Regions from separate parts of the Mus musculus genome. Here all the other regions are reported to be linked to region 1. The links are microRNA targets in miRTarBase. Many come from high-throughput screens and were not tested one by one. Region 1 holds a microRNA gene; each other region holds the end of a gene's coding sequence.

Region 1 (4,067 bases):
GTACCTATTCGCTGGTACACGTGAAGTCTCTGCTGCTAAAACAGAATTATGAGTACAAACAGCGAGGCACTGCACAACAACTCATACGCAACACAGAACTGCATGCGCATGTACCAACTGAGGCATGACTATACTGCTAATTACTACAAGGTGCTCTGTTTAATAGACAAATTGCCACACGCTGGGCTTGCTTTTCTCGCTTTAAGGTACAAAAATGGAGAGTAATTTATATGCTCCTCCATACCGCACGCACGGCTGCCTATGCTTACACTCCCTTCAGCTCACCCCAGTGCTCAGAGCACAGTGGTAGTAACAAGCTCATCTGCAAACACGTGTATGTTTCTGTAGGTAGGCTCTTGTAAAAGAAAAATCACTCTTTGTTTCCACTGATAAAGGGACGGACCCACTACCCTTGTCCCAGGCTGCCCTGGAGGCATTCAGGTTGGGGCATTTGGGCATTTCTGGATTAATGAGCATCTCCATGATAGAAAAGATACACACACACACACACACACACACACACACACACACACACACAAAATCCCAAAACTTCCAAATGGTAAGACTCATTCCCAGCTGGCACCTGGCACTACCACCAATTAAGAGTTTATTAATGTAGCTTACCAGCCAGATCAATAGAATCACATTTGTGATAGCTCCTTTATTTTTTGTTTTTGTTTTTGTTTTTGTTTTCAGGACAGGGTTCCAGGCCCTGGCTGTCCTGGAACTCATTATGTAAATCAGGCTGGCCTTGAACTCAGAGATCCACCTGCCTCTGTCCCCCAAGTGTTGGGATTAAAGGTGTGCACCACTGCACCTGGCTCTTTAGAAACAAACAACAACAACAAAAATGTGTGTTCATTGTGCTTATGTATATATTCGTGCCAAGACACATGCGGAAGTCTGAGGACAGCCCAGAGGGATCAATCTTCTCCCACAACGTGGGTTCCAGAATCAAAGTCATATCCACAGACTGGGCAACAAGCCCCTTCACCCATTGAGGCTCCTGCCATCATGGCTATCCTTTTATTTGCTATAGATTTGAAAATATGTATTCCATAAATACCATCAACCATGAAAACTACTCATGGCACAATGAAGGTAAAAGATGCCCGATATATGGTGTCTGTTTATAATATCAGATTATTTTTAAATTTTTTTTCTTGTGTGACTTAAAAGGGTGACTTTTTGAAACTACACCCTACTTTTCCACCTACCACCAAGGCAATTACCTCCATTCGACAGACAGAGACTCTTTATGGTGAGCCGGCCAGATCGATTCTGCTTGTACCTGGAGCAGGGCAAGAAAAAAAGACACATGTAGCTCAGTAACTGACTCCCCACAAGGGCTGCAGACGACCCCTAGAGGTGTGATGGTCCCAGAATACTTGAGTTTCCCATTATCTAAAGCTACGACACCTGTGCAGAGGACAGAAGTCCGGTTTCACTGACCTGTACAGCAGTTCCTGAGCAACGATATCTCCATAATCGTGAGACAGCAGGTTGATTCTGCGGTTCTGGAGCCCCAGGTGCCGCAGAAGGGACTCTACGATGCTGGCCTGCTCAAATATGGAGTACTGATGTGGTCTCTGAGGAAAGGAAAGCCAGAGATACAACATGATGTTAGCAGTGCCTGCCAGACCCTCATTTGTACCCACCCACCTACCCCCATCACGGACCACACCCAGCTGCTGCTTACCGGCTTGTCACTGAAGCCAAAGCCTAAGAAATCAAGGGCGATCACTCGATGGAACCTCAGGGTCAGCCCTTCCCAGATCTGTTAAGAAAGCAAGCATGGTGAGCACTCTGCTCCCACTGCCCAGCCCCACAGCAAACAGGCCTGCATGCCACTGTACGGAGAGCGTAACTCCAGCTTTAATTTGGCAGTGTCCCTTTCTGCAGTCAGTATTTTACTCCCCTTACAGTACATAAAAAGCAATTCTACATTTAATGAGATTTTATCAAACAGTTCAAATCTGCAAAAGAATTCTAGGGCTGACCAGAACAACAACAACAACAAAAAAAATATCTTGAGTTTTGAGTATTTTTTTTAGGACATAAGCCAGACCTAGAAACATTATTACCTTGTACCAGTCATAGCTGGATGTTGGAAAGCCATGTAAAAGCACAACTATCTCAGGGCTTCCGACCACACCGACAGAATCTAGGAGGAAAATGAGAAATGAGGCAAACTGCATGCAAGGCAGCCTTGACGACACCAAAATCTAATCCAGTCAAAAGGATCAGACTAAATGAATGACATCACCATGCTGTGTTAGAAAGCAAGCTGACAGGACTTCAGGAGCTTCCTCCTAATCTGCGCTTTTAAATCGTAATGGCATGCTTTACATGAAAACCCTTAAAACAGTTTGTTCATCATCACTTAAGAGTTGTGTAGACATCCTCATATTTTCGCTGACATTAATATAAAACTCAAATTTTTAAATAAAAAGGAAAAACAGTTAAAATACTATAATCACAGCAAGCTAAAACTTCTTTGTCCCTAATCAATATTTATCACACCTAATATCTAAGATGTGACAGTTCTTCCCAGTGGATCACCTGAGCTTATACCATTTGTCCATATACTAGCAGAATTCATGCAACTCAAAAAATCAAACTGTTACAAAGATGGGCTAATAGTGATGGGAACTTTTTCTGTATGTGACATATTTCAGATTATTCAAACAATAAAATACCTTGCCAACAGTACTGGATTGAAATTAATACTGCTAGTGGAATAAAACTTTGGTAGCATGTTTTCAGAAATTATTTAATTAAAAGCAATTAAAATATCATATACTGGATTTAACCTAAAGAACCTATGCAAATAAGATGTAACACTGAATATCAAGTCTGGGAAAGAACAACAAGCCAACATAAAAAAAAAAATGCATACTTACTCGACTGGCTATAACCCATGAGAGGGGGTCAGGAGCAATAATGAAAAACGGTTTACGAAAAACAAACATTTTTCGTTATTGCTCTTGACCCCCGCCCAAAAGAAATCTTTTCCAATCTGTTTCTCGGTTTCTTCAGCTATAAAATGAGGTTAATGGCACCTATCTCCAAATGCTGTTGTAAAAATTAAGTGAAAAATGAAATAATGAAGGTTAAAATATAACTGAATATCCTGAGTGTGGTAATTAAATAGCAGTCATCAAGTCAATCTTATCAGCTACATATAACAAATCACGGAAAATAGTGCATGAATTTGGGAATGGGGTGGGGCGTGGGGGAAACAAAGGTATAGATAGATCTCGAAATACTATATAGCTTACCTGACACTAGGGGCGCTCAAAAGAGAAAAGTAATTTCTCAAATACAAATGGGGCTGCAATTACTACCAGGCACAATTCTACCCCCACCTTCACCTCACCTTCACTGTGGAGCAACAGACCAAGGGACACAAAATAAGTAACTTCAGCTGAAACCTACACGACCCACGTCCTTGGGATTCTCCAATAGCCCAGTTCTCACCTTGGTAGAAGATGCGTAGGCCTTTGTAGGTGAAAAACTTGCCAGAAGTCTTCCATGAGTGCAGAGCAGGGGAGAGCTGAGGGGGCGGGATGTGCAGGTACGCAGCCAGCAAGGGCACAGCCAGGAGCCCTACTTGGACCCACCACTCTCTCATCCTGTGGAAAAAGCAGCCAAGGTAACATTGTACACTTCCAAAAATCAGAATGAAACATGGGTGGGAAACCTGGGCACTGTGAGGTTTGACCCCACCCCCCATCCCTCCCCTCCCCTCCCCACCCCTTCCCACTCGACCCCTCCCCTGCCCACTCCACCCCTCCCCTCCCCACTTCACCCCTCCCTTCCCCACTCCACACCTCCCCACCCAACGTGACAATGGCATAAACTTTACCAAGAAGAATGTGATAAACACCTTTACCCTTTGACATCTGGCAGTCACTGTACTAGCTCACTACCATTCTTTCCAAGCACATATGTAACTTACTGCATGGCCTTAAGCAGAGAGCTGCTCCTGGGTTCTAACACATACATATCCTCTGACCAAGTGAATCCCCATTTGGCACTACTGTCTGCATTTGGGCTATGGAACT
Region 2 (4,067 bases), not on the chromosome of region 1:
CATTTGTGTTTCCTTCTTCCCCTCTCTGCTTGCTCCTACTTTCCCTCCCTCTGTTCTCCTGTTCCTCCCTCTTCAGGAAATTTCTGCTTGTCCAGTGGCCCTAAGATCTAAGTGACAGATCACGGTCTATTTGACTATGGTCTGAACGGTGGCACTCTTGTAGATGTAATGGTGACAGTCTGAGGAGCAGCCAGCCTGGTTGGAGCAGTTCTGGGAGAACACTCTTAGCCATGTGCAGGAACGCTGCCCACCTGGCTCCATCTTGTCTCGGAGGGGATTGGAGGACCTGTGGTGGAGGATGGCCCCAGTTCCCCTCCACCTTGATTCTGACTTTGCACATGGCCCTTGCAGGTAGAGCAGCTGTATGCCAGGCAGCTGGTGGAGGAAGCGGGCAAGAGCTGCGGTGCTGGCTCCCTGATGCCAGCCCTGGAGGAGCCCCAGCCGGACCAGGCTTTCCGCATGTTTCCGGATATCTGTACCTCACACCAGAGACCCTTTTTTAGAGAAAATCAACAGATCACCGTCTAAGCCTCAGTCCGGGCACCCCACCTCGCCTGAGCTCAAGCTTCAAGAGTCTGTGACTAAGAGAATTCCGAAAGGATGTGGAGCCCTCTGACTGGGGTGGGCGGGTGTCCTCCAAGGGGCCTCCGGAAGCCCACAGAGGGATGCGCTCCTGCTCAGGCAGGTGTCAGAAGCTTGCAGGGGCTGTGGCCGCAACCTGTGATTAAAGCATTCCTTTCCTGCGTTTCCCCCTTCACCACTAATGGCTGGCCTTTCTGTGTGCTGAGGTCTTTCGACAGTTCAAATCATCTGGTGGCAGCAGACTCGCCTTTGCCCTTCTGCGGCCGAGGGCGGAGATTTATGACTTTCTCTGCTTGGTTGGAGAAGAAGAATCTTTACTATTCAGCTTCTTTTCTTTTTGGCCAGAACTCTGAAAAAAAAAAAAACTCTTTTTAAGACAATATTTGTATTCTCACAGGCTCAGCTGTCAATCACTTGAGACCTTCCCTGTAAAGTGGGGCAGATTTTAAATATGGGTGTAGATACTGCTTGCAGCCTTCGCAGGAATTTTGGTTGTGGTTCATTGATTCACACAGACTCTGTGTCAGCTGACAGGGCTGTGTGGGGCATCAAAGGAGGACCAGGCACTGTGGAGAAGACCCATTCACTGGCATCTCACCCTTCCTTGTCCAGCTCCATACCCAGTCCTAAGACCCAGTGAAAAGCCACGTCCAAACTGTGCTCTGGGCTCATCAGTGCCCACCCACGTACCAGGGAAAGGCACACACCCTACCCAGTGGGCACAGAGCGGAATGTCCCCCTACCGCACCATTTGCGCCCCCAATCTGGCTGTCCAACCTAGTTTGTAAGTAATCTAAATCAGTGACTATAGCCCCGCCTAAGGGACACTTCCCGGAGGAGGGAGCCGCTGAAAAGGAGTTAGTTTGAGGGTCAGTACACAACAGGGGCAGAAAGCCAAGCAGATGTGGGGGCAGGGAGAGTCATCATCTGCTTTTGTCTGAGAGAAGGAGAGCTTCTCCGTTTGTTCAACTTTGTAACAAGCTGGGTTACATGCTCCACGCAGCTAGAGAAGCCTAGGTGCTCTGCATTCCCTGGGGAACTGCAGGAAAGCCTTACCTGCTGACTGTTGCTCTGGGGAAAAGCCTGAGGGTCCAGAGCAGCTACAAGCTACAGGCCATACCTTACAACCTGAAAAGCTAAGGACCACGGTGACCTTCCCGGCTACTGTGTGAAGGTGCTGGGTGGGGCCTGCTCAACAGACAGGGTCGACAGAGTGTGTGATACATGCAAACAGAATCCTTGGAGTGTGTGATACATGCAAACAGAATCCTGGGCCCCTGCTTCTCCCCCTCAGTCAAAGCAGGAGTGTCCCTTCCGAAGCCAGGACAACCTGTTCACAAGGCCCCTTGTCACATGTCACCTTCCACCTGCCTCAAGGAGTGCTAGTGTCCAAATATTTATTTTTGTATTCTCTTAAGAAGTATTGATTTCATCCTTTATTAAAAAAAGTTGCTCTTTCACAAAAGTAATGTTTGTTTCTTTTTTTAAAAAATCACTTTTGAATATAGTTTTCATTAGATTCCAGGATTTTTTTTTCTTTTTAAATTTTGATGTTAAAAAACGAGACCAGAGGTCTGGAGAGATGGCTCAGTGGTTAAGAGCACTGACTGCTCTTCCAGAGGTCCTGAGTTTAATTCCCAGCAACCACATGGTGGCTCACAACCATCTGTAATGGGATCTGATGCCCTCTTCTGGGATGTCTGAAGACAGCGACGGTGTACTTATCTACATAAAGTAAATTTATTTTTAAAAAGTCTTTAAAAAAAATGAGACCAGATCTGACTCTGCAGCCCAGGCTTTGAACTCATTGCAATCTTCCTGCCTCAGCCTCCTTAGCAAGGGGAGGAGAGGTGTGAGTCACTGTGAATCCTTAAAGGAATCTTTAAAATAAATCTTTAATTTACTTTTAAGAAATAATGGATTGAGATTTTCAAGGATTTAGGGATTTTTTTTTCTTCTCTTAAGACAATAGCAGAAAGCTCTGGAGAATAACAGACACAGGAGAGCACAGAGGGCGGGCAATCCACGCTGTTCTACCAGATGTAGATTAGGGTTTCAGTGAGCCCAGGCCTCGTGCAGCATGGGAGGGCATGGAGGAAGGAGACTATGCTGACAGCACCCTTCTGGAAGCTTCTAGAAGCATTAGTGGGACGGTCACCAGTCATAGCGCTGAGGTGTGATCTTCCATTCGTGCACACATACTTATGCCAGACACCGGCTCAGAATGACCCTCACTGGTGCTATAACCAGCCCAGGGGCCATTTCAGTAGCAACTGGGAACAAAGGCCCTCCCCACCCCCACACCGCAGGTGGGCACAGACTGCTAGTTCTGCTGTCTCTGAGGCAGTGTGCACTGTCTCTGCTCTCATGGGATCTCAGAGACAGGGCCAGTTAGTCCCAGCTTACCCATGTGGAAAGTGCGGGAGAGGGCCATGTTTGGCTTGAGTGAGGCCTCCCTTGTTCCGGGAGTGCAGTTAGAGCTTCTGCAAGATCCTTGGCCCAGAGGACAGCTGACTGCAGAGCAAAGTAAAGCAGCCATTTCTGCAGGGAGTCCCGTTGGCTTCAGAGGGCTCCAACGGGGGTCTTGTGTATAAACAGCTCCTCTCTGGATGTGCAAAGTGAATCCAGTCCTGTTTGTGTCTCTCAGAGTTCAACCTCTGGGCCAAGAGTGGATGCTGTCTCCCTGAAGTGCGGGAGGGAATTTGGCATCTCTGAAGGCTGGGGCCTCCTGGGACAGGACTTGGGTCCTCAAAGGAATGTGACTTTCTCTGGGTGGAGACTGTTTGGTCCTGAAGGAAAGGCCAGCTACCTAACCACCACTCTTGGGATCATATAAAACCCTTATTAGGTTAGTGTGTGTTAACATGACTCTGAGTGGCTACTTAGTTCCCTAATGTCTGCAAGGTCCACCTGAGCAGAACAAACTTTCTGCTTCCCTTCATACCAGTCACAGAAGACAAGGACCCTAGAGACATCGAGGGAAGAGCAGGGTGGGGTGAGGCAAGTGCCCTGGGGTGCCTGCTGTGTGAGGTATTGGCTGGGCCGGTGAAAGACAAGGGTTGATTGTGTGGCCAGAGGACAGGCTAGGGTTCCACTCATCATGCTTCTGTCTCCCATTTCCCTCACCATCGAGAGGGATTTGATACCACACACAAAGAGGCTTAACAGGCCCGAAGAGCACAGAGCAGAGCCTGCCGCTCAGAAAATACCCAAAATAACCGTATTTCTGTTTACCACTCATCTGTAATTAAGCCAGGAGTGATTAGAGAGCTGAACTATAAATATTAAATAGTCCTTGCTGACACGCTACAACGCCAATGGTTAAGTAAGTGTGTGTGTGTGTGTGTGTGTGTGTGTGTGTCAATCAACTATGTCAATAATGTAATTGTTAATAGGGTGTGGTGGTGCACTCCTGTAAGCCAAGCATTCCAGAAGCTGAGGCAGGAGGATGGTGAGTTCCAGACCATGCTGGGCTACACAGTGAA
Region 3 (4,067 bases), not on the chromosome of region 1:
AAGGGAAGCACCCTCCCGAGAAGCTATTGGTCAAGGACGGCACACGCTGGTGCACCGACGTCTTCGACAAGTTCATCTCCGCCGACCAGTCTGTGGCTCTGGGGGAGCTGGTCAAGCGTAGCTACACCCCGGCCAAGCCTTCCCAGCTGGTCATCATCATCAACATCTACAGCTCTGAGCATGATAACGTCAGCTTCATCACTGACCCAGGGGTGAAAAAGTGTGGCACGCTCCGCTTGGATCTCACGGGGAGCGGCGGCACAGCGGTTCCCGCCCGCAGAGAGATCCAGACCATCATGCAGTTCGGGGACACTGAGATCAAGGCCACGGCCGTCGACATAACCACCTCAAAGAGTGTCAAAGTGGGGATCGACTTCTTAAATTACTAATGTAACTGTCCCTCCTGGCCACCAGCCCCCTGGGACTCATCTGCATTTGCTGACCTCAGCCTGACTGTTCTGTCCCTGATCCTGACCCTCGCCACTGCCCACCTGAATTTCAGTAGGCATGAACCAGAGTGAAGATGAACTAAGGATTCTTTTTGAGGGTTCACCGGAGCAAGAGAAACCTCAAAAATCAATATCACGACGTGGAAATAGGAAGTTTGAGGATCCCCAGAGCAGCCAGCCTTCACGGGTTCCTGGGTGGTCAAACAGCCCTTAGTGAGGACTGGGTGCAGCCTGCTTGGAAGAGGGCTCTGAAAGGGAAGGCTTAGGACGCCCACTCTGTGCCGGGGGCAGGGTAGGGTGGGGGAAACATTCATTGGAGGTCTTTTAAAATGATCTTGGATGGCTGTGAATAGGAAATACCAGCTTCCTGCAGAGTTAATTCCTTCTCTTTATGGTGGGACTCACAGAGGTGACTCAGTGGCAGCTTACAGTATTCTTTGTTTTTTAAGCTGGTGGGAGAAGACCGCCTACACCAGGCACCATGTTCTCATATAATTTAGATTCCAAGGAGGCTCAGTGAAGGCTAGGGCAACATTGGCTAACTCAACCAGGATGGGGGTCGGGGTAAGAGTGTGGATGCCTTGATTTTCCAGAGCAGGTCAAACTTGCTTTGGTGGAACCTGTACACTGAAGAGTTAGTGAGGTACCCCAAATTACAGCAGTACCCCCTTCTCTGGAGAGTATACATTCTGAGACTCCTGAGTGGATGACCAAATGGGTAGATAGTTCCAAACCTTATCTATACACTATGTTTTTTCTACATATACATACCTAGGACAAAGTTCAATTTAATAAAGTAGTAAGAGATTAGCAGTAGTGACTAATGACAAATTAGGACAGTGATGAAAACACTTTGATAAAATGTATACGAATTTGGTCTATCTCAGTATATCTGATTACTACACAACACCGCTGTGCATTTTTGGACCCCAGTTAATTGAAAACCCAGTAAATGAAAACCCAGATCAGAAAGTGATTCTCAGAACAATGAAGCGTGAGTTCAGAGATCATGCATGATTCTAGGTGACCTTAGCAGAAATTTAATTGGAGAAAATAGAGTTTCAGTTTACTCTGTTTATATCTAAAAATTCAAAACAGCCTTGCCAACCATGCACATTTTCAGTTAACCCTTTCCTTCCCCCTCTTCTTAATCCCACCATAAGGAAATATTAAAGGAGGTTCTATTCCATGAAATGTCTCCATCAAACCTGCAGCTTTTCACATTCACCTAAAAGCAGTACGTAAACCTAGACCCGTGAAGGCAGGCCTGTGGCTCTCCAGCCTCAGAATCGCTGGTGCTTGTCAGGAGCAGGGTCCTGAACCTAATCCCTTCCAGACTCTGGGTCTGCAGTCGTAGTGTTGGAATGTGAGAATTCCCTCCAAGCTGAAGTGACCACAGACCACAGTGTGTGGCCTTAACAATCCCTGTCAGATTTCCCTCAGGGAAGAGTGCCTGTACTTACACTCTGCTCTCTAGGTAAGAGGGTTGGAGGTCCACCTGCCCTCGGAGGCTGTTGCCCTTTTAACCCCCACAGGAAGGATCAGAGAAGGAAAAAAGACAGCAGGAGAGGAACCACGAAAAAGAAGCCTCCCAAGGCCAGGTTCTGTGTTCCTCCTCCTGTGCAAGGCTAGACTTGCCAACATTCAACATTCAAGAGCCAAATGAGGGTAAAGAATCAAGAATCTGACTCATAGTCCTTCTTATCTCTTCAGAACTCTCTTTCTTATCTGCTGGAATTCATCCTGATTTAAAACACTGGAAGCATGCATAATGAATGGATGGACAGGCGAATGAATGGATGGACAGACGGACAGACAGACGGATGGATGGGTGGATGGATGGACAGATACAGAATGAGGGAAGGGACTTCAAATGCAAGTTGGATTTGTGAACCATCATCATAGCCAATATGCAGATTTTTAAAAAGCATTTTGAATTTCAACCTATTGTCTTCTTTTCCACACCGCTTGCCGCAGAACTCCCTGCCAGAATGTGAAAAAAAAAAATGCTATCAAACCACAGAACAAGCGAATGGGAACCCCAAACTGGACGGCAGGGTCTCAAATCCAGACCTCAGGATGCCTGCTTTCTAGGACTCCTGCTAACCCTGCTTCAGAAGCTCATGGGTGTTTCCAGCCACAGTCCTCAAATAGACTTTCGATTTTGTTATAATGGATATAATTTTATGTACATAGAACGCGAGAATCTTGTATAAAATCTTTATTTCTACTTGTGCTTGTTTGAAAGGGAAAATACTCGCAATTTTGGTTAATAACGCTGCTGCCTGTAAGCTCCACAGCTTCATTTCTTAACTGTCCTCACTGGTTGCTGTCTGTGCTGTTACCCCACAGTGGACGATGCATGCGAGACTGAGCAATAGACAGAGGTGCCTTGGGTCAGAATACTCTGATCACACAGACTAACCCAGATGACAGCTTCATCAGACCCCTCCACACCTGCACACCCCTACCCAAAGCTGAACGGTCTGCATAAAGAGTAATGTAGCAATTCTCCCGTCTAGACTTTGAGAGCTGAACGTACTGGTTCTGGAAGCGATGCCTACCAAAACGCTTTGTGTCTGGCAGAGTGGCGTGCTTCATGATCAAAGGAACCAAGTACTCCATGGGCCAAGGTTTCCGTTGGGTCGAATGAGTGGGAGCAATGTACTCAAGCCCTTATTGTCCTGGCTAACAAAGCACTCCTTACCGTATGTCTGCCTATCTCCTTGCCTCCTATGTTGCTTAAGCGAGCTGATAGAAATCTGCACTGTTAGCAAACTGATGATGGGGAAAGGGTGTGATTTCACTGGACTTCCTTTGGACCCAGAGATGCAGTCCCAGTAGCCAAACTCTTTTAGTATAAAGATCTCCAATCTATCCCTACCCTGACTGAAATAATCCTACTAGGAACACTGGAAGAGTACACCTGGAACACATTCCCCAGTCTTAGAAAGTTCCAGAAGGTCTGTGGTCTTGACCGATTGTCCTTTGCATAGGTTATCTGGTCACTTAACTAACCTTTCCAGGACACAGCAGGCATTCGTAAATGCAGAGTGACAGGCAGGAGGGAAGAGGAGGTGCTACAGAAGAGGTTCTAGGGAGCCATGGCTGAGTCCAGGTTACAGAGCCTGCCCCGCCCTTAGAATGTTACTTAGACCAAGTTTAGCTTTTAGAGTCCAGGTCTGGTTAATTGCCAGGGTAGCAAAGAATTGCATGCACCAATATAAACAGGAGTCAAAAATGCATTATTAATCGAAGATGAACTTCACATTGTAGTGACGTAATAGTTGTGATTAGGCTGCGCAGTACGTATGCCGGGGAATGGCTTAAGTGGATGGCTAGTATAAAAGTTGATGGCCATAATATCTCTTAACACCTCTCATCTGCTTGCAATATGGAACAATATCCTAAGATCTCAACCACTGGGAGGCTTGTTCACTACAAGATAGATCCAAACGTCACAGAATTCTGCAGCAGTTCACAACTAGACAGCATTGTGTCTGCAAACTCTTGTCTTCACAGATTCTAATAAAGTAAACCTCTCAATTTCACACGGCCTAGAATCGTTTTTCTCATTTGGGGTGTAGGTGGATTTGTAGGGGGATCATTCCTGGCTCA
Region 4 (4,067 bases), not on the chromosome of region 1:
TTGCTCAGCCAGCTTTCTTATAGAGCCCAGGACCACCAACCCAGGGATGGCATCACCCACAATGGGCTGAGCCCTCCCCCACTGATCACTAATTAAGAAAATGCATTGAACTGCATCTTATGGAAGTATTTTCTCAATTGAAGCTCCCTCCTTTTAAATAATGCTCGATTGTATCAGGTTGACAAAAAACTATCCAGGACACACTGCTAAGCAAGCATCTCTTATTATTTCCTTTGGTTGCTTTTTCTAGGTGAGACAGGAGAAAAGGTGGAAGCAGAGATGAAAAATGAGAAAGAAAGTGAAGAAGCTGAAACTAAAGAGAAAGAAACAGGAGAAGCTGTGGATCTTGGAGCAGCAGGGGCTGGTGACAGAAGGGCTTAGTGTGCAGTGTTACACCAGAGGGCAGGGATATTTGAGGCTGGGAGGGCGGGCACCACCTTTCTGCGGCTTTGTGGTTTATACAAGGAGTATAGTTTTAAAATGACTGTAGGAACCAAGAGAACAATGCTGTTTTTGTTTGTTTGTTTGTTTGTTTTCTTTTATTGTTTACACCATAAAACTGCTAAGCCAGACACGGTTTTCTTAGATACTTAGGATAATTATGAATTCAAAGTGACAATAGCCATAGCCAATCAAAACTGTAAGATCATCTAAGAGAGAGAAGGCAATCTTCACCCTTGTAGCCATGAGGTCTCAGGATAAAATGAGACCCTAAAAGGAAAGTACAAACCTTTAAATGTAGGTGTCTAGAGAGAGGAACTAGCAAACTTTAAGGAACTCATGATAAGAGAGTTTTGCAGTTATAATAGTGATGGAACAAAATTAAATAACCCCAGAACACAGGACCAACTCTACCTAATATTTCTGTCCTGTAATAGAAATTTGACTGAGCCGGGCGTGGTGGCGCACGCCTTTAATCCCAGCACTCGGGAGGCAGAGGCAGGAGGATTTCTGAGTTCGAGGACAGCCAGATCTACAAAGTGAGTTCCAGGACAGCCAGGGCTACACAGAGAAACCCTGTCTTGAAAAACAAAACAGAAAGAAAGGAACCTCAGGGAGCCTGTATTCTAACTACTTTCTGTCCTGAAATCTATCTACTACTACAAATCACTGTGACCCATGGCATACTAAATGTTAACAAAAATTTCTGGAGGGATGCAATTGGGGTGCTGTTGCAAGCTTTGGGATTTTTTACAGTTAAAGAGTCCACATTTTCCATGTGCCATTTTGAATTGGCTGGTGATTTTATACTTAAGGGGGGGGAGTGTTGGTGATCTCTCTCTCTTTCTTTCTCTTTCATGTGATTTACTAGCAGTAAAATAATTTTAAATCACTTGACTTTCAATGAATTTCTGAGACAAAAACAAATGGAACACAACCAGCAAGGATTAAGTCAGTCCTAGCTTTAGGGCTGTGGAGACAGCTTAGCAGTTTGCTAAGTTTTTGCTGCCAGGCAAAGAATGGGAGTTGGATCCTCAGAAACAACTCTGGTGGGTATGTAAGCTGTTTGTAAATCCTGCCTAGAATGCAGCCCAGGGATCCTCAAGGCTGGCTGGCTAGGGAGCCTGATCTTTCCGGCCAACCGTGAGTTCTTCTGAGAGATGCTGCCTTATAGAATAAGGTGAGCGGTGATCTCGGAATGTTTCTAACATCAGCTGTGTTCCTCTGCACACACGTGCACACACATTTCTCCACACATATGAGAACATGTGTACATGCACAGCAGACACATGGGGAAAAAAAAAAAGGCAAAACAAAAACGAAACTCCAAAAACACAAAACCCCAAAATGCCCTCGCTCAGCTTTACTGTTTATATGTAATCTTCCTGAGCCTGCTTTCTTTTTTTTTTTTTTTTTTCATTTCATTTTTTATTAGTTAGTTTCTCCATTTACATTCTGCTTTCTTTTAAGTGACTGCAAATTAGCATTAGGTGAAAAAGAGCTAAGAAGTCGAGATTTTAAAAACATTTCTGTACCACAGAAAGTCTTTTTTTTTTTTTTGGAATTCTTCCAAAGCAAGTAAGGACTTCTGCTGATGATTGTGTGTGAGTTACAATATGGCAGTTAACTTGTTCTTTATTAAGCGCTTTGTGTCTATGAATTTCAAGGTAGGTTTATGGAAAAATTTACCATTTTAGGAATACATAATCTTAAGATTACCACTTAGATGAACCAACTAGCATCTTTTGCTTTAGTGTCTACATTAAAATAAAAACCTCTTAAGGTGAGCCAAGACTAAGTGTAACACTGTGGAGGGGAGTGTACTATCAGTGTTCTGACGTCAGAGTTACCTCATGCCTCTGCAACACACCCAGATAGATAAGAGCAGTTCCTAACAGATGACATAGCCTATTGCAAAGTAGAAGTTGGACTGCTCTCATTAAGAGCAAGTAGTTCTATGTAACCTTGAATTCAGTTATTTGGTTCCCTCAATAGACTACTTACAGATCCTCTATCTATTGAGTCAATGTTTGAATACCAAGAAACAATATATTGGAAATATAAATTTGTGTGGCACTACCCCAGCTCTATCTCTTAGATGGGGAAATCCATTTTCCTGTCAAAATTGCTCAAGCTCAATGTTCAGAGTAGTTCCCCAAGCAAGGTTTTTAGGTCAGAAACTCAGTAGAGACTTTATACAACATATATTTCAAGTTTCATTTGTTTAGTTTTTCCTGATTAGGAGAGTCGATAAATAGAAAGTGTCAGAGCAGGTGTGTGTGGTGATATTTTTGACAAACCCATTCCAGAATACATACATATACATCACTATAACATATTGTACTTAATAGTTGACAATCAAAAATAAAAAGTTAAATGTAAAGGCTTACTGTAAAATATCTGTGACCATTCCTTTTTTGGTAATTTTTTTGAGACAGGGTCTCCCATGTAAACTCTGGCTGTCTTGAACTCAGGTCTCCAGTGCTGGGACTAAAAGTATGTTCCTCCAGATCCAGCTATCAGAGATTATTTTAACAGCTGAATCTTCTTTATAGCAAGCACTCAGATGGACACATTTAATTAATAGGCACAAGCACAAAAGTCCATTCTTCATTGGGTGGCCTATCTTTTTGTGTCTATGTGACAGGGTCTCACTGTGTAGTCTTGGCTAACCTTGAACTCACTATGTAGACCAGGCTGGCCTTTGAACTCAGATGTCCACCTGCCTCTGCCTCCTGAATGCGGGAATTATAGGTCTCTTCTACCATTCCCAGCTCAAAACTCCTTTCTTCCTTAAAATGTTGTTTTGAGACAAGGTCTCCTGAAGGTTGAGCCTGAGCTCCTGGTCCTGCTGCCTCCACTTCCTGAGTGCTGAGATCACAGCTGTGTGATCCCAGAGCAGGTTTATACAACAGTCATCCTTGAAAGAACACTCTCTCAAAAAGTATACTATAGCTCTAAAATAAAAGTTTTACAGATTGCCTTCTAATGCTTTACTTTCTATTAGCCATCCAATTACTTTCCTAGCTTTAGAAATTTGTATATTTTTTGTGCTTTCTATACTTTTATCTCTAATGTGGCTACTAAGATATTAGAAATCTTTTAAAAATTTAAGGATTTACTTATTTATTTTTAGATGTTGAGACAGGGTTGATCACTGCAGCCCTGGAACTTACTCACTCACCAGGCTGGCCTAGAACATAAGAACACAAAGATCCACCGGACTCTCTGTGTCACCACCACCCACAAAAGATTTATTTTTAAATTCTCTCTCTCTCTCTCTCTCTCTCTCTCTCTCTCTCTCTTTCTTTCTCTCTCTCTCTCTCTCTCTCTCTCTGTGTGTGTGTGTGTTTCTGTACACATGGATAGAGGTGTCCACAGAGGCCAGAATAGGGCATTGGATCGGAGCCCCTGGAGTTCGAGTTAAGAGAGGTTGTGAGGCACCTGACATGAAGTCTTGGAATTGAATTCTGGTCCTCTGCAAAAGTATTAAGTGTCCTGAACCACTGATCCATCTCTCTAGCCTGAAACTTGTTTGTTCTTTTAAATTAAACAACAACAACAACAACAACAAAAACAAAACAAAAAAAACCAAAAACAAAATAACCAGGTATGGCTACTTTGTA
Region 5 (4,067 bases), not on the chromosome of region 1:
GATCAAATCTCATGGTATACATTGGTAAGAAAAAGGGTTTGAAACATAGACCTGATACTCGGACATGGAAACAGTATGTTTGGTCAGAGAGAGCGAAGGACCTGATAGACGAGGGCAATATCAGAGAGAGGGCATCAGTCGGGTTAGACACGAGCATTCCACAGTGAGCAGCTCTGGATAAGCTTTTATAAATGCTGGTTAAGGTTTTGAATTTGCCCAATTTTGTCAGGATCCCAGAGTCTATCACAAACATACACAGTTTTCTCAAATCTGCTTTGCAGTATGCCCGTGAATGTCTCTTATCTATACTTTCAGATGGTAAGACCCTGAGGGCAGAGGAACTCAGACCCTTTGTGCCCCCTGTAAGACCCTGGGGGATGCAGTGGACCCGACTTTGTGTTCTCTGCACAGAAAGGAGTCCACTTTCGTTGAGACTAAGGAAGGGAACTGACAAGCTTCCCTTTCTGGCTTCAGGTTGGCAGTGCCTGAAGCTCTGAGTGCCATCTGGAAGGCAGAAAGGATCCTGTTGGTGCACTGTGGCCCTGAGAGTGAGGAGGTCCGGGAGCTCCGGGAAATGAGGTCCTGCTTACTGGACTCGTCATTCGTCCCTGTGGGGCCCTTGGTGTAGAGCAATCATCCTCACCCTCAAGAAGGAGCTCTGGTGATGACTGAGATGTTCTGTTGGCTTGGAGCTCTCATCAGAGAGGACGGGACCTTCCCACCTGACCTGAGCCTAGTGTCTGGCACAGAGAGCACTTGAAAACAGATTGAGACACTCACCTGCCATGCTGGCTGCTGCTTGCAAGAGCTAACTGCCCTCTGATGGAAACCCCATGCCCAGAAAAGACTAAATCCAGTATCTAAAGGCTGCTTTAAAGGGTTGTCACTGCAGCCGGGCTTGGTGGCACACGCCTTTAATCCCAGCACTCGGGAGGCAGGCGGATTTCTGAGTTCAAGGCCAGCCTGGTCTACAAAGTGAGTTCTAGGACAGCCAGGGCTACAGAGAAACCCTGTCTTGAAAAACCAAAAAAATAAAAAATAAAAATAAGTAAAAAATAAATAAATAAATAAATAAAGGGTTGTCACTGATCTGCAGGCAGCTCATGCTAGCCTAGGCTTTTGGCTCGATTTCATCTCACTAAACGATGAATCTGTTTCCCTGGAACATTCCTATGGTTTCTAGTAGTAATGAAGTGCTGTGTTCCACTCCAGTGAGAACTTCAATTCTTAGTCTTGTATTATAATTGAAAAATAATATATAGCAAGAAATCAGTATGACTGCTTACCTCAAGAGACATACAATTCCACTTACAATATCCTGCTTCCTTAAATTTTTCATTAAGACTGGTGATATATAATTTGTGAATGGAGAAATAAATACGTCTTACTGTTGGCAGTTTCTTCCTGGGATGGCAACTCTGTATTGGTTTCCTACCAGTGTCCTAATTCTTACTCAGTGGCTTTCATTGAGTGTTCTTGGCACTCACTGTCCAAGCACTGATGCAAGGCAACCCTGTAGCATGACTTCATAGCACAGGCCTCCTTGTTAGCACACCTGAAAGCAGACCACTCTGGCTGTTTCACTTGCAGACAGAATCTTACTCTGTAAGCCAGTCTAGCCTCAAACAACATCCTCCTGCCTCAGCCTTCCAAGTTCTAGGTTTATAGGAAAAGGCCACCTTGCCCAGCTTGAGACTGCTTCTTACTGCCATGTCTCTTCAGGCTCACACATGAAGTCCAGGGCACTCCAGGAGGAGCCGTGAGTCTGTCTGCAGGGCACTCCAGGGGGAGCCATGAGTCTGTCTGCAGGGCACTCCAGGAGGAGCCGTGAGTCTGTCTGCAGGGCACTCCAGGGGAAGCCGTGAGTCTGTCTGCAGGGCACTCCAGGGGGAGCCATGAGTCTGTCTGCAGGGCACTCCAGGGGGAGCCATGAGTCTGTCTGCAAGGCATTCCAAGAGCAGCCATGGGCGTCACTCATTGGTAGACTGTGAGGCTACATCTCCAGATGCCCCGAGTGCTGTGGTTGTGAGCACTGCTGCTCATGGTTTCCAACTGAGACAGAGGGAAGGACTTTGCCCCTTTCCCTAAGGATGGGTAGTAATAGTCCAGACCACAAGGGACAGATAGCTATGGGGTTTTCTGACTCATCCTTAGTACATTATTGCTGATGACCAGTTTGTTTGGATGAGTTAGTGGGAAAGAAGACCCAAGTCCATACACTCTGCTTTTTAGAACTTGCTCATCCTAGCCATGCCCAAGGAGCAGCCGTTGACTGTCATGGCATTACAGTGAGGAAATAAACAGTCCTGAAGGTGCCTGGCAGCAGCTTTTCAAGAAGCTGGTGTTAAAAGACAGTATTCAAACATTTGCGGACTGGGAACTGGGCAGCATTTGAGTCTCCTGCTGTCTGTTAATTTACCCTGACAAGGAGGTGACTTGAAAGGTTTGTTTTGTTTGGGGTAGAGCTTTTTCAGGAAAAAAGTTTAGTCCTACAGACAACTCTATAGTTATTCTAGTCCAAACTCATGCCTTGTGTTTTATTCCTAAAAGCCCTGTCACACTTTGTAAAATAGGTGCTCTTCCTCAAAGGATATATTTAACGTTTTATATATCAGGCCTTATTCTGTGCATGGAAGCTTTTTTTAGATGCTTTGTAAGATGGCTCAGTGGTTAAGAGCATGTACTGCTCTTCTGGAAGTCCTGGGTTTGATTCTCAGCAGCTAACACCAGCTGTTATTCCAGTTCCTGGGATCTGATGCCCTCTTCTGGCCTATGTGAGCACTGCATGTGCGTAGTGCACAGACAAATGCAGGCAAAGCACTCATACATAAAACTAAATTCAAAAAACTCTTTCATTGTCTCATGTGACCTAGCTTGAGAATACCTGTGCTTATATTATAATCTAGTATGAGCCAGCCACGGTAGCAACACACCTATTATCTCAGCACTCAGAAGATTGAGACTAGATGGTCAAGAGCTAGAGTCTGGGTTACAAAACACCTGTCTCAAAAGTAAAAGGGCTGAAAAAGTGTCTCAGCAGCTAAGAGCACACACTGCTTCTCCAGAGGGCCTCATTTCAGTTCCTAATACCCACACCGAGTGACTCAACCACCTGTAACTCCAGGTCCATGAGATCCAACACCTCTGGTCGTCTGCATAAGCTCCTACACTCAATTATACAGAGAGAGAGAGAGAGAGAGAGAGAGAGAGAGAGAGAGAGAGAGAGAGAGAGAGAGAGAGAATTTTAAGAAAATCTTTCAAAGTAAATTAAAAAAAAAAAAGGATAAAACAAAACTATGCATTTAAGTTCGGTAAGGTGGTGCACACTTTTAATCCCAGCATTCAGGAGGCAGAGGCAGGCAAATCTCTGTGAGTCCTGGGCTTGCCTAGTCTACATAAATGAGTTCCAGGGCAGCCAGGGTTTCATAGTGAGACCCTGACTGTGGGTGGGTGGGTGGGTGGGTGGGTGGGTGGGTGGGTGGATGGATGGATGGATAGGTAGGTAGATAGATAGATAGATAGATAGATAGATAGATAGATAGATAGATAGATAGGCAGTCTAGAGAGGTGGCAGTTAAGCATATACTGGTCTTACAAGAAATCCAAGTTCAGTTCCTAGCCTCAGTGACAAGCAGCTCAAACCACCAGTAACTCCTACGCCAAGGAGATCTGATGCTCTGACCTCTGCAAGCACTATACTCATGCTATACTCATGCATGTGCCCACACTCGGACACATATGTATGCACATAACTAAAAATAAAACTTTGCCAGGTATAATGGCACATGCCTATAATCCTAGCATGTGGGAAGTAGAGGCTGGAGGAGCAGGAGTTCAATGCCATTCTGAGCTATATGAGACCCTGTCTCAGAAAATAGGGACTGAATGTCAGGCATGGTGGTGCATGCCTTTAATCCTAGAACTCAGGAGGCAAAGCAGATGGACATCTGAATTTGAGGCCCGCATTGTCTACATAGCAAGTTCTAGGCTAGCCAGGTACATCATAAGAACCTTTCTCAAAAAATAAATAGGGCCAGTTGGCAAAATTTAGCTTGCCCTCCTAACAC
Region 6 (4,067 bases), not on the chromosome of region 1:
AGTAAAGAAAGCTAATTAACACAGAAGGTGCTGCCCGTGGTTTATATGTCTTTTAATTTCTTAGGTGCGGCCATTTTCTTTGAATTCAAACATTACAAGCCTAAAAAGAGGTTTACCAGCACTAAGTGTTTTGCCTTCATGGAGATGGATGAAATTAAACCTGGGCCAATCGTAATAGAACTGTAAGTTTTGGGCATAGCAAATGAATGGAACTTAGGGGTCAATCAAGCAGAATATTTTAAACAATAATCTTTCTTTTGTGCTTTCAGATACAAGAAACCCACTGACTTTAAAAGAAAGAAATTGCAATTGTTGACCAAGAAACCACTTTATCTTCATCTACATCAAAGTTTGCACAAGGAATGATCCTGATACAAATAACCAAGAACTTGTGTGAATTTTACCACTCAGAACCCATCATAGCTCTGAGTAGCATAATCACCCTTCAACAGGCAGGAAGTGAGCCCTTCAACAGGCAGGAAGTGAGCCCTACCCACGCCAGCTGACCAAGCGAGTCTATTGCACAGCCGGACCCCAGAACAAAAGTTCAGCACATCACTGACCTATCACTCCTTTGGATACAGGTTTATTGTAGATTTGGAAACGTTTTCACTTTTCTATTAATTGTGCAATGAATAGTCTATTTTCTCATTGCCTCTACTCCCCTGTTTCCCGGACAGCACTGTTGTAGATGTGCAGAACTTCAGACAATGCAGCAATAAGAATGTGCAAGAGTCTACGTCTCTGCTCACTTCTGCTCCAGTATGCTCTTCTGGTTTCAATGCCACGCTGTGAGTTGAAGTGGGTAGAACTGCTCTGAGAGGAACTGGACTAGTTACATTGCCTAGCAAAGTCTCCTTAGAAGAGACCTAGCCTGGTGCCATGGGTCTCCTGCATAGAAAGTGTGACCTGGCCAGATGAGCATCCCACCCTGAGTGTTCCCCGGATGACCAGACTGATTTCCTGAAGAGAGCACGTGTATCGTCAGGTGGATTATCTGCTCTTCTCTATTGTACTGCTAATTCTTTCTGGTAGTTCTAGGGTTAACGTTGGAACCATCTCAGAATAACTATGGATTTGAAAATGTGTTTACAGTATCTTTTAAACTGTATCATTTAGGAACAGTTGAGTCAGATGTCAAGATGTTGCGGGATAACTGCTGCTTTCCTGACCACCCGTTGTGAGACCTTAAGACCCCGTACCTCTCCTTAGTATGCAAAAATCTGGAAAGACTGTCTATTTTTTTTTAATATAGGTAGATAGGATTGCCATTTATTTCCTATTTAGATATACAGTCATTCATCCATATGAAAATATGCAGGTCACTAGTTTATTTTGAATGGACTATTTACTTTTGGTGTAACAAGGCATAAATAAAACTTTGAAAGCACATGATGGATGGTTGTTACACAGAGCATTAGGACTCATGAGGGGCTTTCTGTGGGTTAGACATGCCATATACTTTAATATTCACATGTCAGTGACCTCACCACACCATTCAATATACTTGCTTTTTCAAGTAAATAACCACAAGGAAGATGTCTTAAACTTGTCCTTCAAGAGATCTAGTCTTGGCTTTCATTCAGCACCTACTAGGCCACTGTTTACTAGATGGAGCTTAATAAAAACTGTATTTCAGGTTCAACCTGAAAAAAAATCCACAACCAAATTAATCTTGATTGGGTAGTTCCAACTGCTAAAATCATCCCATCTATAATAGCTCTAGGGGGAGGAGATTTTTGCCTTAAATTAGCTCACTCTCCCACTCAGGCTTTGAGTTGTAGGTCCCCAGGCTGTAAGCTCCTGGGGCAAGAGTTGTAGCTGTCATGGAAGGGTCTAAGGTACTTGGCAGTACTCTGTACCTGGGGAGTACTCAGTACATTTTGTTTGATATTGCTGACTAGACATAAAAATTAATTCCTTAAAACCTATTATTATTAAAACGTAGCAAAGACTGTACATTGTCCTTTCTCATTTCTTACAGATCATAAAAGACAAATAGCAAGGTGGTAATTTTCTGTGCTACAGCACTGATCATTCACACAGCATGGCATATATGAACCACAAATGCCTGCCGTCAGGGTTAATAAAGCACTTTAGTGGAACATGATATTAAAAACTAAAGCTCGCCAGGCACTGGTGGTGCACATCTTTAATCCCAGCACTCGGGAGGCAGAGGCAGGCAGATTTCTGAGTTTGAGGCTAGCCTGGTCTACAGAGTGTGTTCCAGGACAGCCAGGGCTACACAGAGAAACCCTGTCTTGAAAAAAAACCAACTAACCAAAAAAAAAAAAAAAAAATTAAAGCTCAGCTTTAAATCAGACCCGAATGACAAGATTGTCTTAAAGCAGTGAACACAAAAGCACTCCCCACTTCACAAGTTGAGTTTCCGTTGTACTGAGCAATAGCCTTGTCTCTAGCACAGATGCTTTCAAGGTGAGGTGTGGCTCCTTCCTAAAGAGCTTTAGCTATTCAACAGAGAAACAGCGGGAGGGGACTTCTGAAACAAGAACTTTTAAATGGAAGAGTCCGACTCAACTGAGGTATCCTGTCCTCTGTGCCATCCGTAGACAGACAGGCTTCTGTAGCACAGGCCTCGTCAGATGGGGCTGAGGAAAGGCAGTAATCGACTGGCTCAGAGGGCACAGAAATGCTACAACTGAGGGTTCTACACATATTTCTGATGATTTTTATGATGATAGAATAACTAAAGGCCTTTAGAGGGAATATCCTAATTTTGAATATTAAAAAAAAAGGTTTACCTTTACTATTTGTCTTCTTAGCTTGTATAATTTTTATTTTATATGCCTTCTAAATTTAGGTTAGTCAAGATAGCTGAGGCAGGAGGATAGCAAGTTTGATCAAGCCTGGACTATATAGGTGAGACCTTATCTTTAAAAAAAAAAAAGGTAAAAATTATAAACTATATTTTTACTATTTTGTGTCCCAAGATTGACAGATACTTTCAAGAAGTTGTGTTTGCAATTTAATATTATTTTTATATGGTTAAAAATGGCATGTGTGGCTAAAGAGATGGTTCAGGAGTTAAAAAGCACTTTTTGATCTTGCAGAGAACCGGGGTTCAGTTCCCAGCACCCACATGATGGCTCACAACTGCCTGTAACTCCAGTTATGGGGATCTAGTGCCCTCTTCTGGCCCCATGGGTACCAGACACAACACATGTTGCACATACATACATGCAAGCATGCAAGCAAAATGCATGTGCATAGCATAGAAAATAAAGTTTCAAATTATATATACTCTCCTGTGCATTTTCTTATAAAATCTTGTGTAATTCTGGATTGGGGTCAGGCAGGCTGAACTCTTACTCCCTTGGACCTCCTGCATTCAGAGAACCTGTCTTTGTATGTCTTCAGTCATCGAAGATTTTATTTCACATTGAAGCTTTTGCTCATTTTTTTCAAAATCTCCAGTGGATTTAACTTCCCAGCAGTGGCATGATGTGCCCTTGGTTTCAGTCATTGCTTCACAGGACTTTAGAGAGTGCAGTGTCACAGTGAGCTGTTTTCACTTGTTATAGCTTTAATTACTGCAGCTTACACGGCTGCAGCAATTCACCTCGCTCACAACAGCCGTGTTACTGAGCTCAGCCCGTAGTTCAGGATGTACACTGGTTTTCTGATCTTTCTGCCTTATGGCAGCTTCCTGATTCTTTGCCATACTCCTTGAAAATCAGCTGCAAGGTGATATGAGAGAAAACAGAATAGACATTTCTAAAAAGAAATGATCTTACAGTCATGGCATATGATTTTTATCTTGTTAGTCACCCTTAGCGAAAGAATGGTTTTAAAAGCAACAAAATACCAGGTCGAATAATTTTATGTCAATTTTTTCCCCACACGTGCTGCAGCATGTGTGTGTGTGTGTAGGTCGTGGGAAGTGGTTCTCTTCACTAGGTGGGTCCAAGGAGTCAAACTCAAGCTGTCAGGCTTGGCAATAAGTGTCTTTACCTGCTGAACCATCTTATTGGCCCAAATAATTTTTTTTTTCTTTCAGTTTTTGAGACAGATTCTATGTAGCTCTGGCTGTCCTGGAACTCAGATAT
Region 7 (4,067 bases), not on the chromosome of region 1:
AGAAGAAGGAGCTGAAGCGGCTTGTGCTGTTCCTGAAGAACGGTGCCGACTGTCCCTGCCACCAGCTGGACAACCTCAGCCACAACTTTCTCATCATGGGCCGCAAGGTGAAGAGCCAGTACCTGCTGACAGCCATTCACAAGTGGGACAAGAAAAACAAGGAGTTCAAAAACTTCATGAAGAGAATGAAAAACCACGAGTGTCCCACCTTCCAGTCTGTTTTTAAGTGATACTGGGGCGGACTGGGGAAGGGGAGTGTGGCTTGGGGTGAGGGTGGGGGCGCGTGGATGACCCTGGCTCTTGGGGGCTCACATATTGCTCTCACCCATTACAGTTGTGGCTTTTGCATTGCACCTGGCTCTGTTCCTACAGCGAACCCTCTCCCTTCCCTCCATAGCCACATCCAGCTAAGGCCACGGCCCTTTAGATTAGGAAGGCTTTTTTTTTTTTAAGGGCTGCAGCAGGGCCAGCAGGCACGGTGCAAAAGGAGAGGCAGAATCCTTTCACTGAGCCTCGGGCACAAAAAACAGAAAATGTTGGCCGGTTTGGAAAAACAAAACAAAACGGATTGTAAAGAACTGCAGACGGACAGCTGCTCAGCTCAACGTTGTTCGGGACATCATTACCAATTGCTTGTGGAGTCTAAGCCTCTACAGGTAGAAGAGTCTGATCATTGCCAAGCCAGGCTGCTTTCAGTTTATTATTAATCCCCCTCTTTCTGCCTTAGATAGACCATCGCCACCTTCAAAACACACACACACACACACACACACACACACACACACACACACACACACACACACACTTCTGAAAGTAGCCAGGGTATCCCAGTATAGAACGGGATAGCTAAGGGTTTGGGTGGGAGGCCACTGCCTACTCTACCTTCAGCTTTTGAACTGGCCACCTTTGATAGGAAACTGTAGGTCTCAGATGGACACTTCTACCAGTCCATCGGGATACAAGGATGCCAGGCAAGGGTCTGCTTTTGTATGAAGGAGGTACGTGGGCATGAAGAGACATGAGGCATTTCAGGCTGAGAAGCCAACAGCTACTAGTTTTCAACAATAGAGTGGAAGAAATGAGCAAAGGTAGAAATGTCAAGCAGGTCACAAGTCAGGGTGATTGGGGGAATCCTGTGCCAACAGCCTCACTTTGTAATTCCATCTGTCACATTTCAAAAGAACAGCAGCATAAGACAGGGATAAAAGCCCACATACCCTCCAAGGCTTGAGTAAAAGTCCACACTCAGCATTTCAAAGACTAACGTCGTTGACTGCCCAAGGCTGCCCTCTTAATACACCGCCTATGCATGTGCTGTGGAAGGCAACTCTGTGCATGTGCTGTGGAGGAGATGGGCCTCATGGCTGTGCCTGGCTGCCCAGGAATCAGTATAGCTGTGGAAGGAGACAGTATCCATAGACTCTGCTTTTCTGCAAGGAAAGCCCTTTTCCTTATACATGATTGCCTATAATTCAGACAAATTTAAAATCGCTGCCTGCCTGAGCCCTCCACCTTTACTTTTGCATTCCTCCGGTCATATTCTTTTGAGGCTAAAGTGCCCTATCCGAGGAGATGGTTTCAAAGGCTAACTAATCTGCAGCTTTCCCAAGTGCCCAGAGGTATTTCTCAAAGTTGGTATGCTTAATAAGTGATGTAAATATTCCAGTTCTCTTAGGCAGCCTTACTCCTGTTGTCCCTGTAGTTCTGAAAAAAAAAAAAAGTTAATTTCTTCCACCAAAGTCTGATAATTCCCCACCGCATCCATGGGGCTACAGTGACTGTCCCTTTGGCATACTCAATCCAGAGGTAGGAATGATTTTGAAGAATCATCTAGTGGCCTTGGATTGACCCAGAAACAGGAAAACTCTGGTTACTTCTGAAAGACTCCAGCCTGAAAACTCACCATGCCAACTTAGTTACTGACCTGAGTGGGGTAGTGACCTAATTAACTTCATGTTTAGTAGTCCTATTATCTTAACCCTTTTAAGAATACTTCCAACCTTAATCACAATGTTATGAGGAACCTTAGGTGATTTGCCTATCATTGTGGATGATTTAAAAATATGTATGTGCATTAGTAATTAGAAATAGTCTAACCTCATTGTCCATAACTGAAATGCAAAGTCTCCTGAGTGTGTAGATCTGGGCCTTGAGCCACTACTAGTTCAGTGCTTGGTGAGGGGTCTGCTCATTTTGGGAAAGTGTATCATGTGGCAGGGCCCTCTCCGAGTGGCGGGAGACTGCCTACATGATTTTTTTTTTTCCCTGGGGATGTTAGCAGTTTCACAGCATAAAAGGGAGGACATGTTCTGGGGGGCTCCAGATTGGGAACCCTCAGGAAGTAACTTCCTCAGGAAGGATTCATAACCAATTGATCGATCAATTGATCATGTGAACTGCAGCAGCTGTCTGTCCCCTTACTTCAGAGTCCCCAGCTTCAGAGTTTTGTTGCGGACCTGTGAGGATTTCAGACACACACACACACACACACAGACCAGTTTTGTCTATACTACATCAGCAGTTCCAGACAAAAAGGGAGGCTATCTAGGGGCCCGAAAGCTGCATGATCAGCAGCCTTTGTCCTTTTCAACAAAAGGTGTAACAAACCAATGTGCAGACTCATTAGCTTTGTCCCTGGCTTCCAATGGAGGTGGTCCATGTGCGCTCTGACCAGCGTTGCCAATGAAAAGGTCAGATTTGGAAAGCTTTAAAATAGTCATTCCGGAGAGTCAGGGAAAGCTAAACCCACCAAACTTTTGGGAACTATCAATAGCTATCTTAGAAAATAGACTTGAGAGGCAAGAATTGTAAGAATATGTTTGCTTTTTAAAACATTCTGTATCCTCAGAGCTCATGGTTGGTGGGTTAGCACTAGGTCCTCCCTGGGGCTGAGTCTAAGCCCAGTTCCAGGCTTCCTAAGAATGTGTAAATTACAGAAATCACATTTCCCAAAGCTAGAACCTGTTTTATCTTGTTAGCCTCCCTGTAACCAGATGCTCTGTTGGACCTTCATAGCCGGACGTGGTTCAAGATGTGCTCCAGAAGCAGACCCGGGGTCACATCTCCAGGATGGCATGTTGGCTGCTCTGACCTGGCGCTGTGGGTCCTAAGCGCAGAGACGGAATTCCTGTTGGCCCTGGTTCCCCCCTCCTCGCACCCCCTGAGGACTCCACTTTATAGCCTAAGCCTTTTATACAAAAGCTTTGAATACTGTGAAGATGTTTTACATTCCTTCTCATTCCTGTTGTTTCTTAACTACATTTGACCAGATGTTTTGATGTTATCACGTATGTTAATAGTGATTCCCAGGTGTGTTTTGTTTTCATGCTTTCCCTGCCAATGTATTCACTTCACTAAAATCACTCGATCAATAACAGCGTGAGTTGTGATTGACCCAACCCCTGTCATCCACTCCCCACTCCCCGATGCCCTCCCACTCGGCATGCTCCCTTGAGTTGCTTCAGTGGTGTTTTCTGGTCCTAGCTGGGTGGGATGGGGTGGAAGAGACCTGAGAAGGAGCACGGGCATTCCCTGCCCTCCTTCCCCACTAACCATCTCCGTATAAGCCTGGTGTCTGTCTGTCTGTCTGTGTGGGTTTCAGTTCTGCCAAACATTTCTGCTCCATGTTTCAGATGCCCCCACCCGACAGGTCCATTTTAGAGTTCACGTTCAAATTACCAGCGAGAACTTAAGAAATGGCTTATGTTTGGTGCTGTGGTCCCATTTGGGACTTTGAAGAATAAAATATGACATGGCAGGGACTGCCAAGAAGACTTTGGGTCACTGGCGCAGCTAGATTTAGAACCCACAGTCCCAGCATCCTGGCCGTATGGGCTGAGCTCTCTGCTGAACCCACCTTTGTATCCACAGTGACACATTTTGCTGATCCCAGGCTGTTCATTTTGGCATTGGGCCTCTTCCATTGTAGTGATAGCTCCACTGGATGGTGCCCTCTGGTCAAAAAACACTTCCATACCAGAACAACTTAGTAGTTTTTCTCCACATGTGCCCAAGTCATCAAAACTTCATCCAGGCACAGCAACAGCGTTCTTTCAAAGGCAAGAAAT

The links. Region 1 holds the annotated microRNA mmu-miR-335-3p (UUUUUCAUUAUUGCUCCUGACC, at 2,930-2,951, opposite strand). A microRNA usually pairs through its seed, bases 2 to 8, with sites in the 3' UTR of a target mRNA and lowers its output. Matches are read on the target gene's strand: a 7mer-m8 pairs with bases 2 to 8, a 7mer-A1 pairs with bases 2 to 7 and ends in A, and an 8mer does both.
Region 2: the mRNA of Irf8 is a reported target of mmu-miR-335-3p. Seed matches in the 3' UTR shown: 7mer-A1 at 933-939.
Region 3: the mRNA of Hspa12a is a reported target of mmu-miR-335-3p. Seed matches in the 3' UTR shown: 7mer-m8 at 1,292-1,298, 7mer-m8 at 1,402-1,408 and 7mer-A1 at 2,444-2,450.
Region 4: miRTarBase lists Erich5 as a target of mmu-miR-335-3p. Seed matches in the 3' UTR shown: 7mer-A1 at 1,024-1,030.
Region 5: miRTarBase lists Smyd4 as a target of mmu-miR-335-3p. Seed matches in the 3' UTR shown: 7mer-A1 at 1,017-1,023 and 7mer-A1 at 1,246-1,252.
Region 6: miRTarBase lists Aida as a target of mmu-miR-335-3p. Seed matches in the 3' UTR shown: 7mer-m8 at 1,308-1,314, 7mer-A1 at 1,648-1,654 and 7mer-A1 at 2,263-2,269.
Region 7: the mRNA of Sfrp1 is a reported target of mmu-miR-335-3p. Seed matches in the 3' UTR shown: 7mer-A1 at 1,706-1,712 and 7mer-m8 at 2,683-2,689.

What each region holds. Positions count from the first base shown.
Region 1 is chr6:30,740,238-30,744,304 of GRCm38, reverse strand. It overlaps Mir335 (microRNA 335), which reads right to left and starts at 3,006; the gene lies at 2,909-3,006. It overlaps Mest (mesoderm specific transcript), which reads right to left. Exons shown (of 12, transcript NM_008590.2): 2 at 3,481-3,635; 3 at 2,085-2,164; 4 at 1,700-1,777; 5 at 1,453-1,589; 6 at 1,233-1,291.
Region 2 is chr8:120,754,648-120,758,714 of GRCm38, forward strand. Irf8 (interferon regulatory factor 8) reads left to right here. Exons shown (of 9, transcript NM_008320.4): 9 at 352-2,047. The coding sequence ends at 528. Among named protein-coding and RNA genes, the nearest start is that of Gm39266, 13 kb to the right of the region's middle.
Region 3 is chr19:58,795,683-58,799,749 of GRCm38, reverse strand. It overlaps Hspa12a (heat shock protein 12A), which reads left to right. Exons shown (of 12, transcript NM_175199.3): 12 at 1-3,999. The coding sequence ends at 389. All of the region lies in intron 2 of Gm41877 (a long non-coding RNA gene), which reads right to left. Among named protein-coding and RNA genes, the nearest start is that of Gm41877, 3.2 kb to the right of the region's middle.
Region 4 is chr15:34,472,560-34,476,626 of GRCm38, forward strand. Erich5 (glutamate rich 5) reads left to right here. Exons shown (of 3, transcript NM_173421.2): 3 at 251-1,333. The coding sequence ends at 381. Among named protein-coding and RNA genes, the nearest start is that of Rida, 21 kb to the right of the region's middle.
Region 5 is chr11:75,404,292-75,408,358 of GRCm38, forward strand. It overlaps Smyd4 (SET and MYND domain containing 4), which reads left to right. Exons shown (of 11, transcript NM_001102611.1): 11 at 475-1,414. The coding sequence ends at 628. Among named protein-coding and RNA genes, the nearest start is that of Serpinf1, 16 kb to the right of the region's middle.
Region 6 is chr1:183,322,220-183,326,286 of GRCm38, forward strand. Aida (axin interactor, dorsalization associated) reads left to right here. Exons shown (of 10, transcript NM_181732.4): 9 at 65-182; 10 at 270-2,282. The coding sequence ends at 366. Mia3 (melanoma inhibitory activity 3) reads right to left here. Exons shown (of 26, transcript NM_177389.3): 26 at 4,017-4,067. Among named protein-coding and RNA genes, the nearest start is that of Gm34102, 21 kb to the right of the region's middle.
Region 7 is chr8:23,446,259-23,450,325 of GRCm38, forward strand. Sfrp1 (secreted frizzled-related protein 1) reads left to right here. Exons shown (of 3, transcript NM_013834.3): 3 at 1-3,374. The coding sequence ends at 230. Among named protein-coding and RNA genes, the nearest start is that of Sfrp1, 37 kb to the left of the region's middle.